Caenorhabditis elegans: one gene and its partners. The protein of the gene in region 1 interacts with the protein of each later gene in a pairwise test. Each region holds a gene or a part of one and is shown in the gene's direction. Other genes may lie near its edges.

Region 1 (7,637 bases):
CTTCAGCTTACGCACCATCGATTATTCAAATCATTCTTTGCTTTCTCGGCGTCCTCTTCCTTCATAAATTTGACGTATACGTTTCCGACCATGTGTTCTCCGATATTCTCACAAACGTTGATCTCCTCCACTTCTCCATATTTTCGCTCCATCTCCACAAAAACCTCCTCGTAGAAATCGTCAAAATAGCGCTGTTCCTGATCATTCCGCTTGCCGACTTTATCGAAAGCATCCGCCTGACGGACATCCACTACCGGATTGTGGTAGAAGTTTTTGAGCACAACTGTTGGCGAGAATGTCGGTGTATGATGGGCTCTGGAGCATTTGTCTCCGTGGCGGCAGGCTCCTGTCTGCAAAAATTATTTAATTATTGAATTTTTTCACAGAAATCCACAACAAACCTTGAAGAAAAACGAGCAATTGACTTTATCCTTCTCAGTACCATAGATTGAGGCCAGGTACTCGGCTCCGGAGAGCCCGTCACCATACGACATTGGGATTCACTAAAAAAAATGATTTTTGACGAAAAATTCAATTTCAGCGGGAAAACCCTGAGAATTACGATTTTTAAACACAAATTCTGACGGAAATACTTCAGAATACAACGTAAAACTCAAAATATCAAGAATTCAATGCAAAAAACAAACTGCGAACCTGAAACAGATAGAAAATGGAAATAATAACCAACTGCCCTGCTAAATTCGAAAACGCAACGAGGCACGCTTTTGTGGGCGGGGCGAGCGTCGGCAAGGTGAGCGCGCGCGTTTTTCTAGCGTTTTCTCTATTTTTCTTTTTTTCTCCCATGACCAGAGATTAATAAATAAGTTGAAATTTAAGTGAATTTCTCTTCAATTTTCCGCGATTATACCGATTAATTCATGCACCAAGGCTGAAAGAACATTTAAAAATCAATTGGAGCTCAAAATTATTTGGAGAAAACTCAAGAATACGAGATTTTTCACTCTAAAACTAAAATTTGTTCTTAAAATGCAAAGTTTTAAATGAAAAAAAAAACATTGATTTTTTTAAATATATAAAAAAGGGGTTTTTGATTCCTTTAAAATTCTCTGCGTCTCTTGCATCTCTCGCCGCGCGCTCTCGGGGACCACTCCTCTTTTGGGGCACGCAAAAATCGATAAGCTTTCGGCGGCGCTTGGCCTCTTTCTTATTTCTTCTTATTTCTCAGTTCCTGAATCCAAATTTACAGAAATTTCGGCGCATTTTCTCTTTTTGTTGCGAAATTCGCATTTTTAGCGTTTTTAATCGAAAAACCCCCAATTGACAAATCCGTGGGAAGTTTACATAGAAATTTCCAGCTAAATTAGGGAAAAATCACGAATTTTAGCCAAAAAATTACATTTTATTGAGCCGCCTCGCTCGCCGGCCGCGCCGCGCCGCGGCCAATTTTTACAGAAATGGCCGAGAGGGAACCTAGGCCACGGCCACGACCGCGACGCAGCTGGCGAGCGGAGCGGCTCAAAAAAATCTATTGTTTGCCCAAAAACATGTGTTTTTTCATCATTTTCGCTGATTCTTCGCATAAATTTCCAGTTAAATTAGAAAAATATGGCTCGTTTTTTCCCTTTTTTGTTGCGAAATTCCCATTTTTTGTCGAAAAATCCCCTGTTCTCCAGATGACAAATCCTTGGGAAGTTTCCGATGCCGAATATCAGAAGAATTTCGCAATGTTCGGCCAATTAACCGGAGGACAACCGTTTATGGATGCGGTCACTGCACGAAATGCACTAATGCGCAGCAATCTGCCAACGCAAGTGCTTTCTCAGGTTGATATTAAACTTTAAAAAAAAAAATGTTTTTATTCAAACAATTTCCAGATCTGGGCGCTGTCAGACTTGGATAAAGACGGCCGGCTCGATATTCGTGAATACTCTATCGCGATGCGACTTGCTCTGAATTGTCTTGCCGGAATTCCGATTCCTCCGCAACTTCCGCCTTCCCTGCTGGTAGTTCCCGCCAGAAATGCTCCACCAACCTGGCCTGGAAGCCGGCATGGCAGTGTAGACTACTCACAAACTCTTCCACCGGCCATTGATCGTCGAATGTCGCAGTCATACATCCCATCTGCACCGGTTTCGATTGCCGGAACTCCATCTAGCAGACACAACTCGATTTCAGCTGGAAGCCCTTTGAATAATGATCGCAATGTCTTCGAAGGCCGGCAGCTGGAAAACTGGGCGATTCCTCACCACAATAAATTAAAATATTCTCAATTGTTTAATGCTCTCGACAAGGAACGTCTGGGCTCCCTGAGCTCACAAGTCGGACGGAGTGCTCTCGGGCTTTCAGGCCTTCCTACCAATGTTCTCGCGCATATCTGGTTTTTGTCAGATGTGAATAAGGATGGAAAGCTATCAGTGGATGAGTATGCGATTTCTCAGTATATGATTGAAATGTTCAAAGTATGTGTTTTGTTACCGGCCAGAAGCTCTTTATTCAAAAATTGCACTTTTTCCATGAAAATCCAACTTTTCTGATCTAAAATTGATATAAAAATGTAGAAAAAGGTTCTTTCCATCTGAAAATATTGTATTTTTCATGTTTTTTCAACAAAAATAAGGAATATTTTCAATTTTATTTGTCAAAAACTTGGAATTTCAAAATAAAAAGTCAAGCCACGTGGACGCTCCTCCCACTTTGCAACATGCGGCGCGAGTTTTCGCAACACTGCCGCACGGTTGTATTTTCTTCACGAATTATAGTTTTTCAGTGAATTTTACAGGATTTTTCAACGTTTTGCTTGTTTTTTTCAGCAAAATTTCATGTTAAAACGCTGAAAAATCTCAAAATTTCAAATTTTTCTGTACGAAAATCGGAAAATACCCTAAAATCATGAAACACCATAAAAATTTCCGCTGAAAAACTTAAAAAAATTTTTTTTTCAGAGTGGATTCGCGCTTCCAAAAATAACCCCGCTGGAACTTGTCCGGATGTGCGGAATCTCATCAAGATCAGCCAACAATACCCCTGAACTCGAACCAGGAGCGGAGCCACCACAAAAGTCACCAGCTCCGAAAACTTTTGAAGATAAGCGACAGGATAACCTATCTAAAGGTCAGGCAGAACTGGAGAGACGACGTAGAGTTCTTGAAGAAGAGGAGCAACGAAGACGAGCAGAAGTAGAGAAGAAAGAGAGAGAAGAAGAAGCGAAGAAAAATAGAGAAAGACAAGAAAAGGAACGACAGGCTGAAGTTGAGCGGCAAGCTGAACTAGAAAGACAGAGAATAATTGAAGCTCAACGGGAGGAAGAGGAGAAGAAGCGGAGGCTAGAGATGGAGAGACGCAGAGAGGAGGACGAGAAAATGAGAAAAGTTCAAATGGAGAAGGCGAAAGTTAAACAGATGCAGGTACAGATGCCTGAACAGAAAAAATGGAATTTTTATGTGGATTCTAGGCGATTTTTTGAGTTTTTCTTTTGAAAATTGAACTTTTGGAACACAGAAATTTTATTTACTCATGATAAAAAAAAACCAAATTTAAATCCCTAATTTCAGAACCAGAAGCAACAAGAGAACGAGCGTCTTGCACAACGTCAGCAACGAGAAAAAACGCTGCAATTTCAATTACAAGCACTTGATGAGAAGGTTATCGATGTTGAAGTGGACATTGGAAAAGCCAAAGAAGCAGTAGCAGAAGTGACTGGATTTATTGAGAGAATGAGATCTACGAGAGACGAGAAAGTCGCGAGAATTAAAGAATTACAAGAGACTAATCAGAAGGTAATACGCGTTTAATCTATATGCAAATTACCCAAAAAAGTTCCAGACAGCTATCGAATCTCAAGAACTCGGCCATCAGCTTCTACAAAAACAGTCGGCTCACAAGGAGACAACGCAGAGAAAAAGTGAACTAGAAGCACTGCGAAGGAAACGAGATGCTATTCGAAAAGCTATAGAAGATGCCGCTCTGGAATTATCCACAGAAAAAGAGAAATCGTATAATCAGACGGAGATTTTAAAGACGAATAAGGAAAAGTATAAGACTGATGTTTATTCGAAACTTGTCGCAAAACGAGAAGAATATCGAAATTCGTTTGAGCTTCTGGTTCATGCTCAGACACATGCCAGGAGCAAAATTGGGGAATTTGAAGCGAAATCTGCTCCAGCTTCAGCTGCTCCAGCTCCTGCTCCTGCTCCAGCTCCTACTACCACCAACGGATTCCCTGCAAACTTCAACGATGCATTCGGAGAATTCGATAAAACCGATGCAAGTCAACGTTTCGACGCGGATTTCGGTGCCACGTCGACAGCGGATCCATTTGCTCAGATTGCTCAGGCGCCAGCTCATTCGAAGGGTGCTGTTGATCAATCGGCGTTCAATATTCATGACACTTATAAGTGTCGAGCTCTTTTTGCGTTTGAAGCAAGATCCGAGGATGAGCTCAGTTTTGAACCAGGTGCTGTCCGAACAGCAATATGTCCCTTTAAATGGCCTTTTGTTGTGTAGATTTACGAGCTTCTCCGGAAAAAGCTCGAAATTTCGGAATTCGTAGGAGAAAAAGTTTGGCATAAAATTCAGGAATTTTTAAATTTTTCCAAAAAAAAATCTGAAAAATTGCAAAATTCCACTAAAATCAAGGAATTTATCTAAAATTTTTAAGAGTTTTTCCAGAAAAAAAGCCAAAAAAAAAGAAAATTTCAATTTTTTTATTCTTATCTCTCATTTAAAATGACTTATTTAATATTTTTGAAATAGTTGCATGGAAAACAAATTAAATGCATAAAAGATGTGAAAAATTTCAGAAAATTTGAATTTTTTCGAAAAAAAAAACTGAAAAATTGCAAAATTCCACTAAAATCAAGGAATTTTACTCAAAAATTCTCAAACTGAGCTGAAAATGATTCCAAAAATTTTGAAATTTGTAGGAGAAAACGTCCAAAATTCAGGAATTTTTAAATTTTTACGAAAAATTATTGGAAAAAAGAACTATTTTTCCGCAGTTTTTTCAAAAAAATTTTGAAATTTTTCAAAAAGTTTGGATTTTTTCGTTTTTGGCAACAAAAAAAACCATCACTAATCAATGTTTACCTAAAAACCCCGTTTTTGTGAAAAAAAAACCCTTTTTTTCCCAAAAAATACCAATTTTTGTCAGAAAAAACTTAACAAAAAGTGTCATTTTTGACAAAAAAAAGGCAAAAATTCGAGAAAAAGTTAATTTTTATTTATTTTTCTTCTAGGAGACGTCATAATCGTCTTCCAATCCCATGCAGCTGAACCAGGATGGCGTGCCGGTCAACTTCGTGAGAAAGTCGGATGGTTCCCAGAAGCATTCGTCGAAGCAATCGCAGCAGTACCTACTCCAGGCGGTGATCCACCTATTCAGAATATGCCACCAAACATGACGCCGAGCTCATCAGTAGATCAAATTGGAGTGAAAGCGGCGCGGAAAGCGGAAATCGCAGCGGCAATGGGATTGACAGAAGGTGGTGCTCCACCTGCTTCAAGTGCTCCAGCAGCAGCAGCAGTAATATCTCAATGTATTGCACAATTCCAATGGAGAGCACGTAATGAGGAGGATTTGTCATTTGCAAAAGGAGATACAATTGAGGTGGAGAGCATTTTGCTGCGAAAAATCCAAAAATTGTCTGAAATTCTTGAGCTTGAACCTGAAAAAAATGAGATTTTACAAGTTTTCCGGCAGAAAATTTGAAAAATTTGAAGTTTTAAGCCAATTCTTAGGAGTTTTCAGCCTATTTTCCTGCAAAAACAGCTTGAAAATGTGATTTTGACGAATTTTTGAAAAAAAAATTGGATTTTCGGTGAAAAAATCGATTTTTAATCTATCTTTCAGCTAAATTGTATGATTTATAAAATAACCTTTTTTCCCAAAAAAAACCATTTTCCCCATAATAACTCTTTTTTCTAAAAAAAAACCTGTTTTCTACCAAAAAAAAACCCATTTTTATCAACAAAGGAACCCAAATTTTCAACAAAAAAAACCTTTTTTACCCCAAAAAAACCTATTTTTCAGCAAAAAAATGAGCGTGGTTTCTGGGGAATTTTTCCAAAAATTTGAAAAAAAATTTAGGATTTTATTCCCATTTCTTCTTTTCACGATTTTTCTTGAATTTCAGACTATTTTTTTTAGATTTTTGAAGGTACACCTTAACTCGAACTAATAACATTAATTTCAGGTACTAGAAAAGCAAGAAATGAAATGGAAAGGTCGAAATCCTGCCGGCGAAATTGGATGGTTCCCGAAAAGTTATGTGAAAGAAGTCGGAGCAACCACCAGCACCACGACTCCGATTGTGTCTCCTTCGAAGGCTTCTGCAGGAGCTCCAGGAGCAGCAGCAGGAGCTCAATACGACGTGGTACCTTCCGATGTGACATTACAAGCCTCCGAAACAGCCCCCCAACAACAACTTTACACTGTGATCTACGATTTTGAAGCTGTCGAGACAACAGATTTGGCACTGCATGTCGGTGACACAATTCTAGTGCTCGAGAAGTAAGTGGAGAGAGGAGCTCTCGCTGCTCTTGACAGGAGCTCATTTGGAATTGAATTTTTTCATTTTTTTGATAGCTTTTCGTATTCTTGCGCTATTATTATTATGCTTAAACGAAAGGTTTCGGGGTATCAATTTATTACATTTTGAACCAAATAAGCCCAAAATTTTTAAAATAATTGTTTCCAATTTTGCAAGGAAAACCCTATTTTTGGCAAAGTAACCTCAAAAAACTATTTCTTGTCCAAAAAAACCTTTTTTTTTTCAAAAAAGTCTAATTTTTGTCAGAAAAAAATCCAAAAATGTGTCGTTTTGCCAAAAACACCAAAAAAATTCCATTTTTGCAACAAAAACAGCTAAAAAATACATTTTTCCCCAGAAAAAAAATCATAAAACTCAGTTTTGCCAAAAAAAAAAACCAAACACGCGTCATGTTTACCAATAAAACTTTTTTTGTTTTAAACCGATTTTTTCAGAAAAAATCCAAAAGTGTCATTTTTAACATTAAAAAAACCTAAAAAGCTATTTTTTCAAAAAAGGCACAATTTTTCTTACTTTTGCCAAAAATGTGTCATTTTCGTCAAAAAAAACCCTGAAAAAAAAACAATTTCCAAAAAACACAATTTTTACCGAAAAAAAATTAAATTTAAAAACCAAAAAAAGCATATTTTCTCAAAAAAATTAATTTCTCCACAAAATTAAAAAAAAGCCCGACAAAATCCAATTTTTGCAAAAAAAAACCGAAATACTCTTTTTTTTCCAAAAAAACTTCATATTAAAAAAAACCCCAAAAACCCAAAAAACTTGTTTTTTAGCCAAAAAAAAATTACTTAAAAACTGAAAAACTGACACCAAAACAAAAATATCAATTTTCAGTGATTTAAATCAAAAAATAATTTCAGAAACGATGAATGGTGGAAAGGGCGTTGCAACGGACGTGAGGGTATCTTCCCAGCCAACTATGTCGAGATATCAGTCCAGCAGGCAGGGGATCCGACTCCACCAACTCAAGCTCCAACTCCAGCGGCTCCACCAACCGTCCTCTGTGAAGCTAAAGTTGTCGTGGATTTTGTTGCATCGGCGCCAAATCAATTGGGAATCAAAGTTGGCGAAATTGTGAAAATTCGTGAAAAATCAGCAGCCGGCTGGTGGGAAGGCGAGCTGATTCGA
Region 2 (5,284 bases), on another chromosome or scaffold:
ACGACTTCTTGGAGGAATAGGATGTCCGGATTGACGCTGAAATTTTTTTTTGGCGTTTCAGGTTGATTTTTGAAGATTTTTGACGGTTTTTAGTGATTTTTTTGCTGATTTTGCATCAAAATCAACTAAAAATTTGAAAATTCCGTGAAAAATCGCCGATTTTGCTCACTTTTTGACAATATGAGCCACTGCTTTCATTCTTGTGAGCAAGCTTCTCCCGTCGAGCCCATCAATGTTCCACGACATTACGCTGACTTCGAATCCCTGAAAAAATTTGAAATTTGTTGGAAAAATCGCGAAAAAAGTGAATTTTTTTTTGGTGAGGCTAAGCCGAGTTTGTAGTTTGTAGTCTTAGCCTCAACCAATTTTTTTTTCGGAATTCAGGTTAAAAGCGTGATTTTTTTCAGTTTTTCTAAAGATTTTCGAAGGAAATTCATGAAATTTTATGGAAATTTGAGCTTTTTTGAAGAAAAATGAGGGAAATTTCGAGTATTATGCTTCGGAAATGTTTGGTGAGGCTATACCGATTTTGTAGTTTGTAGTCTTAGCCTCAACCAATTTTTTTTCGGAATTCCGGTTGAAAGCGTGATTTTTTTTTAGTTTTTCTACTGATTTTTGAAGGAAATCTATGAAAATTTATGGAAATTTTAGTTTTTTTGATAAAAAATGAGGAAAATTTCAAGTATTTTCGCCAGATTTCGCTTTGGAAATTTTTGGTGAGGCTCGGCCGATTTTGTAGTTTGTAGCCTGAGCCTCAACCAATTTTTTTTTTCGGAATTCCGGTTGAAAAAGTGATTTTTTTCAAATTTTCAATGATTTCTGTGAAAAATCACTGAAATTTTACGGAAATTGCAGCATTTTTGAGGTTTTTTAACTCGAAAATCGATGTTTTTAGGTGGTTTGGCTTGATTTTGCTCCAAATATTCTTCTATTAACCTTCAAATCCTCTGCCGTCATCACCGCAGCTCCAGAGCTCGCCATAGACGATGAAGCGCCCATTACGGCCGCACTTCTGGCCTCTGCGAACGCCTCACTCCCGTAAAAAACGTCCAGAGCCTTCTTCAAATCCCAGTCTACATCCTGTAAAATCGACTGCGCAAAAGCCTCATCTGTGGCCGTGATTATTGCAAATTCATGCAGTTTTTGCTCGTCGCTCACTGAAAAATCGCGGATTTTCGCCTTAATTTATTGATTTTTCGGGTTTACTCGACGAATTTTTCAGTTTTCCTTGCTCCGGCTCATCTAGAATCTCGATTTCGACCTCGGAATCTTCTTGGGACACTGAAATATATTTTATTTGATTTAAAATTCAAATATTTTGAATTTCCAGCTGCAAAGCCTTACTTTTCTGTCGTTTAGCCTCAATTTCCTGTATTTCATCGTCAGAATTCGACATTTTTGAGCTGAAATTAGAGGATTTTATCATATTTTTTCAGAAAACGCGAAAAATCCACACGATAACTATTGAAATTCAAAAAATCGCGAAAAGAATAACTGAAAAGGCGGAGTCTAGCCGGGGGGCGTACCCTATTTGCAATCCTGGCACGCGTGTTGCAACTGCGGCGCACTTTTACCGAACGTGGAATTTTATATCGCGGATTTGGATCGTTTTTCTTCCCGTTATTTTCCCATTTTTCCTTGGTTTTCTTGCAGAAAATCCATAAAAATAGCAAGAAAAGTGAGTATTAGAGGTTAAAATCGATATTTTCACCATAAAAAAACCCCAGAAAACCGGCAAAAAACGATGAAAATCCGTGTGGAATTTTTTTAGACCTAGTTTCGCAATTTTTTCAATATTATCTTGAAGATTTTGATCTATTTTCGTGATCTTTACTTATTTTATGTGCCATATCCCGATTTTTATACCGAAAACCCGCGAAAATCTAGAGATTCCGATGGAATTGCTTTATTATATTACACGTGGAACTATTTTATTTCTTGATTTCTGCCGGTTTCTTGCTTTAAAATCTTAGAAAATAGCGTTTCAAGTGGGTTTTAGAGCCGAAAATTTAGATTTTCGATAGGAAAATCGCCTAAAAATCGATGAAACCATATTTTTGGCCTACTCCCGCTCTAATTTTGAAACTTTGATCTCGTTTAGGTCGAATTTCAACTAAAAAGTCGAATTTTCCTGTCAAAACACATGAAAATCCAAAATTTTCGTAAAAATATGAGCTCCGGATAAACTTGGGTGAGGCTGAGCCAATTTCGTAGTTTGTAGCCTGAGCCTCACCAAAATTCGGATTCTGTGTTTAATTCTTGATTTCTAGTTGATTTTCGCCGGTTTTTTTTTGCTTTTTTCTTTCTTTTTCTCCCGCAAAACCCAATTTTCCCTTTAAAAAACCCCCGTTTTTTCCAGATGGTGCATTCAAACGGAGCCATCACGAGCACAATTCTGAAGGCTCGTCACGCCGACGTCGTCCGCAAGACGTCACTTCACCACGCCAACGACTTGACACTCATCGATCTCGTGCTCAATGTGCAGCGGCTTTTGGCTCTCCCATCCGACGCGAATTTCGTGTTGAAGTACAAGGATGAAGGTAGGAATTGCACTGAAAATTGCGATTTTAATTCAATTTTTGTCAATTTTAGAAGGCGATTTGGTGACACTCGCCGAGGATAGCGACCTCCTGCTGGCTCTTCACACGTCTGGAGCCACGCTCGACGTGACCGTCGTTGTCGACTCGAGAGCTCGTGAGGCTGTGCACGATGTGCAGAAGCAAGTCGAGCAGATTAAGGTAAGGAGGATTTTGAGCGAAAAAAAACGATTTTTGAGCTGAAAAGCGCAATTTTGAGCGGGAAAATGCAAAATGTTGCAGAATTTTCATCGAAAATGCTGCATTTTTGAGCTTTTTAGACAAAAAAAAATCCGGAAAAACACTGAAAAATGTTGGTTGAGGCTAAGAAACAAGTGTAGTTTGTAGTGTGAGCCTCAACCAAACTAGCCAAAGCTTGAGTGAGGCTATGGTGATTTTGTAGTTTGTAGCTTTAGCCTCAACCAAATTAGCTAAAGCTTGAGTGAGGCTATGGTGATTTTGTAGTTTGTAGCTTTAGCCTCAACCAAATTAGCTAAAGCTTGAGTGAGGCTATGGTGATTTTGTAGTTTGTAGCTTTAGCCTCAACCAAATTAGCTAAAGCTTGAGTGAGGCTATGCAGCTTTTTTTTGTTTATAGTGTGAGCCTCAACCAATTTTGTTTTTAAAATTCACAAAATCTTTGGTTTTTCACTGAAAAATTGGAGAAATTTCAGCGTTTTCATTGATTTTTAAACAAAATTATCCAAATAATCGGTTTTTTTTTTCAATATTTTTAACACAAAATGGCTAAAAATTGGAATTTCTAGTACTACAGCTAGCGAAAAACGAATTTTAATTCAATTTTTCTTTCAGCTTGATGTTGGAAAGCTTCTTGGCGCTCTCAGTGCTCTCGACGTTGCCCAGATCGCCGAACAATCGAACACATCGGTGGCGAATCTCTCGGCTCCAAAACAATCTCACCACGACAATATTGTGTTCCAAAAGAGCTTCGAAGCGGCTCCACCATCGCCAGTGCCTTCCGAGAAGGCCGAGCTCCCGGCGACGATCCAACCGTCGGTTCACGAGCAATTCAATCATCGCCCGGCGCACGTTGAGGAGGAGATTCCGTTGGAGAATCACTATGCTCCACCACCACATCAGCAAATTCCCGATGATCTGAACACTAGCTTCAGCTCCCAGCCACCGCCACCAATTGAGCAATTCGGAGCGATTCCGCCACCGAACGCGACGATCCCGTCGTTCCCAACGTCGAATGCGGCGAGCCCACCAGTTCAGGAGTTTGCTCCACCGCCTCCACAGCAGCAGCAGCAACAATTCCAGGCTCCACCACCACCGATGGCGTCGCACTCTTCGATCTCGTCGACTCCAGTGCAGCAGCAAGGATTTGCTCCACCGCAGCAGTTTGGCGGGCCACCACCGTCTGGACCACCATCAGAGTATGGAGGATATGCTCCACCACAGCAGCAGCAGCAGCAATTCGGAGCCCCACCACCGCAGGGAGCTCCCCAGCAAGGATTTGGAGCACCGCCACAAGGGCCACCACAGGGAGGACCACCACAAGGATCCTTCGGAGCTCCACCACCCCAGCAATTCCATGCTCCATCACCACAATCGTTCGGAGGGCCACCGCCGCCAGTATCAAGTGCTCCAGGAAACTTTGCCCCTCCACCACAATCGGGACCACCGGGCGCTTTTGCTCCACCACCATCCGCCTTCGGAGCACCACAGGGGCCGGGAGGCCCAGGAGGCTACGGTCCACCACCGCCAGGAGGCCCAGGAGCCCCAGGATCGTACGGACCACCACAAGGAGGCCCAGGAGGATTCGGACCACCACCTCCAGGAGGCCCAGGAGCCTACGGACCACCGCCAACCGGATTCCCACCAGTCGGAGCACCGCCACCGGGAGCCGCCGGAGCCCCGGGAGGAAATCCATTCGCACGAGGACCATCTGCCACGGGATACCGCCAGTCGCCGTATCAGCAGTAATTAATCGATAATTTATTGATGTTTTCTTCTTTGTTTGTTTGATTCCCATAATTTAAATATTTTATGTTTTCCCCCGTCCTTCCCCCCTAGTGTACAAGTTTCCTTTTCTACTCGCTCGCCCCTGTTTCCTTGTGATATAGCGCTGGAGCGCCTTTTCTCTTTTCCACGTGGAATTCACATCAATTCTTGTCGTCTTCTCTCTCTCTTTCTCCTTTTTTTAGTGGTATATAATATTTATGATATGAATTTAAAAAATCTCGGGCTCCTGTCTCTGAAATTCTTTTTAATTGAAGCATAGAAAAAAGGGTCTAAATTTCATGTAACTATGTAGAGGAAACATTTTCAAAAGTGATGTGATTGGTGGGAAGGGAATAGAAATAATAATGCATAGGGAACACGAAAACATACAAATTTTTTTAAATAAAATATTTAATTTAATTACTTTTAGAAGAACAGAAAACCCAGTAGAGAAATTGATTGAAATTTTTTTGGAGAAAAGTGCGGGAGAACAATGGGGGGCCACTGAAGAAAAATTGAAAAATAAATTAACGAATAATTTGGAGAGCAATTGTTGGAGCATTTCGCTACTCTTCATCCGAGTCATCGTCTTCTGTATAATCATCGTCCGACGACACTTCGACGGCTTCATCGTCCTCATCCACGTAGTCGTCGTGCTTGATTTCGACGAATTTCGCCTCTTTCACGTCGATCTGCAATAATTTTGAATTTATTGTTGAGAAATTTGCTGCTTTTTGTGTCGAA
Region 3 (6,791 bases), on another chromosome or scaffold:
TGCACGAAAATCTAATTATTCGGTTTGTAGTGAAATTGTAGTTTGGGACTTATACATTTTAACCAGTATTCTCTTATTTTTGAATTTTTGGAAACTTGAAATTGTATTTTGTATTTCGTACCCCACACTAAAAAAAACTATTCAACTTTCCACTACTACTCCTGAATTTCTGGTTTCCAGGGACAGCTCTCACGGTCCCATTTCCAAGACAAAGCATCATGTTGCTTAGCAATTGTGAGTAACAAACAGAACGTGGAACACAAGCCGGTGGTAAGTCTTCTCAGCAGGTACTATAGATGTCATTTGAAGAAGGAAAGGGTGAGCAAGGCGTTCTATTGTCGTAACAAGACCATTCAGACTCTCGTAGCATTTATCGATTCGTCACTGTGTTTATTCATTTCGTCTATCTTTCCTCCTCTTTTCATTGCACAGTGTCCCCACCTGACGGCGGGAAATACGCACTACATAAACTCGTCCCGATTTGAAGTGAACTTTTTTAATTCGCATTTTTGTAGTTTTCTAGGTTATTTTTCTTTTAATTTGAAAAGTAAATTTTACAATAAATTTGACTTGATAAGTCGTTTTTTGCATAGACATTCAAAATCATATGTCCATGTTTCTTAAACTTCTTCACTTTTTTCTCGTACAAATCGCTTAGATGGGCTATTTCTCTCTTATTATATGAGCACAACGTTCTCTCGCTTGCAATGTCAGAAATAGATTGCAGTCTTATCCCTCTACAAACTGTGCATGCACATTCTCTGCGTCTTTTCATTCCTATCAGTGACTAGACTCTTTTTCTTCCAGAAAAAAAACATTAGATGACAACAAACTGTTCAGTTTTTGCAGATAGAGTTCGGCTTTTGGAAGTTAAGTTTTCTGGCATTTATGAAAAAAAGATTGCTCATTAGGACCGTCAAATTTATGTAACGTTAACATAGAAAATATCAACAATGAGAAAAGCAAGCAAAACATGTTTGAAAGCCTTATTGTTTTAAAATAGATAGGTAGCGGAATTTATTTAAGAAAATACTTTTATTGAGTCAAAAGTATTTGTTTCTTTAACCAATAAATTTTATGTTCCCATTTTTTTTGAACTTCAATGTTTCCAAGTTTAGCAGTTTGATATAATATTCAAAACTAACGAAAATTTGATCAAAAATTTGAACAAAACGAACAAAAAAACAAAAAAACAAAAATCTACAAATCCGCTTTTTAACTTGAAACCCCTAAAAATATGTAATTTAAAATACACAAAGTAGCCTACAGTTAAACTCTGTATGTTATCAAATTCTGAAAAACACAACGAAATTCAGTATTCTGTTTTCTCCTTTTCAACAGCCCATTTCTCATTCCATTTGACAGCTCTATTTTCCTCATCCGTCACAGGACTGCGCGATACTAAAAAAAAAGACACATGTTTCTTTTTTTCTTGGTATTGTTACCCAGTAGTCTGAATAGTAACATTTCTTGATTCTTATGTGATGCTTTTGGTGGCAGCACCCATTTTTCTTCTTTACTCCATCCTCTATTTCTAAATTTATGTCACTAATTTTATCCCATTCATTCTCACGCCTTGTTCGCTCTTCATTTTTTCCATGTTTCTTTTCCTTCTCTTCTATTGCTGTAGTCTCTCCTCGCCCTCCTCTTTTTGTCGTTCAGTCGCGTGTCAGCTGAATTCACAAAGAGAAACGCGCCAGCAGTCTTCTTTTAACGCAGTTTTCGTTTTCCGTTCTTTTTATTGTAATATTGCAAGTGTTTCCTGCTGTCGCCGCCCAGCAGTTTTCAGTCCGTTTGTTCCCAGTTGGGTGGCTGAAGCTAACCTTCAATTCAATTTAACAATTGTCTTCGATCTCTAGATCTCTTCTCTGCCGTTGGTTCCATCTCCCAATTGGCTTTAATTTTTCACATATGACCTATGGAAGATACAGGTGAGATTGTTGTGAAATGTTCAATCCATTTTTAGAATATATTTTCAGAGCTGACGTGGCCACCCTGTACGACGTCTTCTGCGAACTTGATGCCCCGAAACCTGGCGAAAAGCTTGCTATTTTAAGACTCCAGTATCCCGACGATTTCCACGATCCAGCTATTGTGAAAAGTGTTCAACAGTTTGCATTTCCATGTCAACTACGAGAGTACGTAATTGTTAAAAAAAAACTAAATTGGTATGGAATTAAAATGTTTTTATAATATTTCAGAGTAGAAGTCGACGCAGTGCAATTATTCAGTTTTGTTCTAACCGATTCGAACTCCAAATTCTCGTTTGGATTTTGCCGTTATACACCAAGAACCGACACGTGCATCTGCTTCTTGAGGTGAGAGTGATTTTCCATCATTACTTTTGACAAATAGCCGTCGTTTGGTTTTGTCATGGGAAAATGAGTCCTGAAGAGCAGAGGAGAAGTATCATATTTCGTTTTCTTTTCTATTCCTTTTAAATAAACTCTTGCAAAAACGTTAACGAAAAAAAGAACAAAACAGAGTTCGTTTTTTCTTGTGACTTTTAACTGTTGTTGTTGTTGTGTGATGCGAAAAAATGAAAAGAATGTTAAACGCGTAGGATAGGATGACGAATATGATTGCAATATTTTAAAAAAGAAAACGATTTGTGATGGTGAACATTATTATCACAAGAACTTAAAAAAAAATACAAAACCGTTTGCTTGGAACTAAAATATGCTTTAAAAAAAGGCGGTAGAAAAGAGTAGAGAAGTAGTCAGAAAAATGTCTCTTTAAAAATATGAATATTTTACAGTGGATTCTTCTGGCCAAATGTCTTCTTCAAAGCTCTTAACGATATTTCTTTGGTGATAGGTTCAGCGCAAAGGGAAGATGTTGAATCAGTGCTCACCAAATTCTATCACACAGATATTCCAAATATTGACGAATATTTACGATTTGCTGATAGTAATCAAACAGATGGAGTAAGAACCTTAGTTTATATCTAAATGTGCAATATTTTCTCAGCACAACTATCGAGTAGTGTTTGCTGAAAAAATTCCCGATCACACGCGATTACCAACTCTTGGCTCGGATAAGTTTTTCCTCGAGTTCTACAACGCCATCGACCCTCGGCAGATGTTAGCAATCTTTGCAAGTCTACTGAAAGAACGTCGTATTCTGTTTACTGGGCGGAAAGTTGGATCGTTGAGTTCATGTCTCCATGCGGTCTCGATGCTTCTCTACCCAATGTGTTGGTGAGTAATATAAAATTTCTAACAAAAATGTTTACATAAATATTGGTAGCAAGAGGCATTGCAATCGCAGTTCTGTGATAGCAGTTCTGAGATAACTAAGAAACTAAAACAAAGTACGTAATACCACGTAATAAGAAATCGTGGTTAAGAAATAAAAATCAAAAGCAATGTAAAAGGGTATACAGTATAAGATAACTTGTTATATTATTTAGTGATGCATATACATAGAATTCAAGTTTCTCTTAAACAATCTTGAAAGTACTTGGTGAAAAATTTGAATTCAACATTAACATCACGAAACATTTGGTCTTGCGACTGTATTTAATCATAGTTTTAGGAACAAAAATTCTGAACTCAATGATGAGGACGCTTATTGAAAAGCTATTAAATTTTCTAAAATGTACTTCAATGTATATTTCAGGCAATCAGTTTTTATCACAATTCTTCCCGAGTCTCTCGTCGACATGGTAATGGCACCAATGCCATACTTGATAGGCGTTCCAAAAACTGTTTTGGAAAATGCGGTTTGTGAATTCGAATAGATGTCCCAATATTGTATTTTATTTAAGAGGCTGAATATAAGAGACATCGGCGAAGTGGTGATTGTTGATATTGACGAGAAGACGTTAACAAGCCCATTCGATGATGTAGCAGCAATGCCTCAAGAAGTTGTAAACTTTTTGAAAGCACAACTTCGGTCGCAGTCAGCAATGGATGACACTTTTGCAAAGCACTTCTTACGAGCTATGGTTATGCTGTTTGGTGACTACACAAGTGGATTTACTGGTGATACGCCTGAAACTCTGGTTTTTTCCAAAGAGCGGTTTGTGGTGCAACAAAAACCATCCTACCAAGCATACGTATCATCACTATTAGGTGCGGATGGTGTGCAGTACCTAGAAAGAGTGAGTTTCCGCACAAGCATATTGATAAGTCGCAATAATTAAATATTTTAGTTCATCCACGACCGATTAGAATTGTACAAAGACGGACACGTGCCAGGAGACCAGTTCGAAATTGAAATCGAACAGATGGATCTGAAAAACCGGCCGGTAAGTGATGAAGCAAATGTTATCATAGCTTGTATAACGCAATGACGTTAACTCGTCGAGTGTGCGGACATATTCCAACATTCAGCTAAATCATCATGAGCCAATGGTGCATACTACGGTGCAATCAGTAAGATTCGTGTTGTCAAACAGTATCTCAGCAACTTGATTTTCAGTTTAACCAAGTGCATGACTTTTGAAAAATTTTCTAACTTGTTCGGCATCTAATTTTTAATGCAATTGAAAAGATTTTCCAGGTCAAGGAGAATGCCAATGACGTCATCGGAGCATTGAAAACTTCTGGAATACAAGTATTTTTCAACCCATTTTAAGTTATTTGAAACATTCAAATTTCTAGATTGCAAATCGTCTCCAGAAACTAACGCCTCGGGAAATACGAAAAGCAGCGGCAAGAAAAAAAGCACACAATCAAAATGGATTTGAGCAGTCGCCAATGTCTTTTGATAACCTACAATGGGATGCAACGGTTTGTTAGAAAATAACAGAATGTATTAATATTTTTGAATAGTTCCAGAAAAGTGACGAAAACGAGGGCTTCCCGGTGGAAACAAGGATGGACAATGTTCCAGTAGCCAACCTCATTGATTTGGATGAACCTTCTACAAGTTCTGCGTCTGGGCTTACATCAGTGGATGAACAGTACTTTCTTCGTCCCTCCGAACTTGCAACTAACAACCGCAAGTGAGTATTTGATCAAATAATCAACCCAGAAAAAGTATAACGCTGTGGCTCTTTGTAGAACTTTTTCGCTCTATTTTTCTGGCAACCAACAATTATCTGTTCGTTGTGCGCCTGCCTGAGTTTAATCCACTTTTAATCTATAAGCTTCTGGCTGTTTCTGTCTAGGTAGAAGTATTTTGGAAACGCTCGGAAATCTCATAATTGCTTATATGTAGAATAAAAAGTAATGTCGCCTTATAAACAAAAATCATACTTTGTTCAAATATAACGAGGATCAAAAAAATTGCAGTGTGTCCAATGAGAAGTCTAATGCATTTGATAACTTCTGATGATTTGGTTTTCTAACACCGTTTCAAAAATAGTTTCATAACTAAAAAGAATTAAAAAAAATTTCATTTCAAGCTGGTGCTTGAAATGCTGGTGCTTGTACATGCTGGTACATTTTGTATAGTAATCTTGATCAAGATATAAAACATGTATGTATTGCCAAAACCTGGTAATTTGAAAACCAAATCTGTTACTATGTTATTCGCAAATCAGTTAATTATTTTACAAATGTTCAGGTCGCCATCTGGAGCAATAGGAAACGTATTTGCCGACCCATTTGCGACGTCACCAGAAGGCTCGGCGCCTCCATTGCCCTCTCGACCCCCACCACCTCTACATCCTCGCATGATTCCTGGCTCATCGGTCCAGTCAATCTCTCCAAGTGGATCATCAGCACCTCACCTACTCCATTTTCAACAAAGCCATCAGTGGGCACAAGTCAGCCAAGTAGGAAGCGTACCATCAGCGATGAACCCATCTGCACCCGATTGGTATGCTCCTCCGCCGCTACCTCCCCGACGACCTGCATCAGTTGGCCCATCGAGCACATCGTCAGGGCAACCAGCAACTGCTTTTGCCACTAGTTCAGCAATACGAGTCCCCCCTCCTCCGGTTCGGAGCAAATGGGAAACTTTCGAGTAGAATACAATCATGTGATAACAAAATGAAAAACAAATTATTTATGTGTATGAAATTTGAGTTTCTATGGCTAGAGTCGTATGGTTACTTTCATAAATTTAACCCATTTCTTTCCCCCTTCCCACTAGTCAAATTATTTTGTTTTTCCATATTCTCATATTTTTTAATCGTTTGTTCCTTGTACTCCTGCGAGACTGAAGTCACAACGATAATTCAGTCATTTTATTCATTTTGTTTAAGTATATATTTTTCAAAAATCCAAAGGAACTTGTCAAATCAAATTGTCATCGAATGCCGGCATTCTAACTTTTTCTTGTCAAAAGTATATATTTATTTATTTTTCTGGTTTGGAATAAACAATAATGTTGGGTGACTTTTCATTCAGTTTATGTTATTATTTCAATTTATTTCAATTTACTCACTTATTTTAGCATCTATCGAAAGTACTTAAAAACTACAATATACTGGACAGCTTCCATTTAATTTTTTTTGTTTTAATTTTTGAATGGAGTAGCGTCAATACGGTAAATATTTGAAATAGATCTTTTGTGACAAAAATAATTCAGTTGAAAGGATAAAATCGTTTTTTTTAGATTTCAAAAAAGTTATCCCAACTGGCGCTATAAAACTTTTGAGACTTTGGAAAATATCCCATAATTTTAAATGGAAAAAATATTATGCTTTGACAATTTTCACAGTATTTACAATATATTGGAAAAGTGAACCAAACGTATCTACGACTACCCTGCATCATAACACTATTTCTCCTGCATATTAACAGATGGCCGTCCTCGTCTCCTCCGCTCTTCCCCTTCCTGGGGCCCCTGCCGTCTGCTGCCTTTTGCGACCGTCTAGCTTCTCTCACTCAATGATT

The links. Proteins that work in one complex are often made in the same cells at the same time.
Region 2: the proteins of itsn-1 (region 1) and tfg-1 interact in a two-hybrid assay, tested with the Caenorhabditis elegans proteins (3 studies listed by BioGRID).
Region 3: the proteins of itsn-1 (region 1) and rme-4 interact in a two-hybrid assay, tested with the Caenorhabditis elegans proteins (2 studies listed by BioGRID).

The regions. Positions count from the first base shown.
Region 1 is NC_003282.8:17,118,050-17,125,686, forward strand, and holds the start of itsn-1 (Intersectin-1), read left to right. Parts: upstream 1-1,632; 5' UTR 1,633-1,634; coding exon 1,635-1,784; intron 1,785-1,835; coding exon 1,836-2,420; intron 2,421-2,903; coding exon 2,904-3,365; intron 3,366-3,512; coding exon 3,513-3,737; intron 3,738-3,777; coding exon 3,778-4,414; intron 4,415-5,195; coding exon 5,196-5,566; intron 5,567-6,152; coding exon 6,153-6,469; intron 6,470-7,369; coding exon 7,370-7,637. Other genes in the region: uaf-2 (Splicing factor U2AF 35 kDa subunit), read right to left, coding at 16-350, 402-494.
Region 2 is NC_003279.8:14,099,688-14,104,971, forward strand, and holds tfg-1 (Protein tfg-1), read left to right. Parts: upstream 1-1,634; 5' UTR 1,635-1,678; intron 1,679-2,359; coding exon 2,360-2,540; intron 2,541-2,592; coding exon 2,593-2,738; intron 2,739-3,388; coding exon 3,389-4,522; 3' UTR 4,523-4,783; downstream 4,784-5,284. Other genes in the region: tdpt-1 (5'-tyrosyl-DNA phosphodiesterase), read right to left, coding at 1-36, 170-264, 937-1,157, 1,207-1,281, 1,345-1,396; dnj-29 (J domain-containing protein), read right to left, coding at 5,107-5,232.
Region 3 is NC_003284.9:10,372,731-10,379,521, reverse strand, and holds rme-4 (UDENN domain-containing protein), read left to right. Parts: upstream 1-1,752; 5' UTR 1,753-1,911; coding exon 1,912-1,931; intron 1,932-1,979; coding exon 1,980-2,138; intron 2,139-2,201; coding exon 2,202-2,318; intron 2,319-2,758; coding exon 2,759-2,927; intron 2,928-2,970; coding exon 2,971-3,200; intron 3,201-3,621; coding exon 3,622-3,724; intron 3,725-3,769; coding exon 3,770-4,105; intron 4,106-4,156; coding exon 4,157-4,252; intron 4,253-4,506; coding exon 4,507-4,560; intron 4,561-4,607; coding exon 4,608-4,736; intron 4,737-4,778; coding exon 4,779-4,951; intron 4,952-5,514; coding exon 5,515-5,920; 3' UTR 5,921-6,290; downstream 6,291-6,791.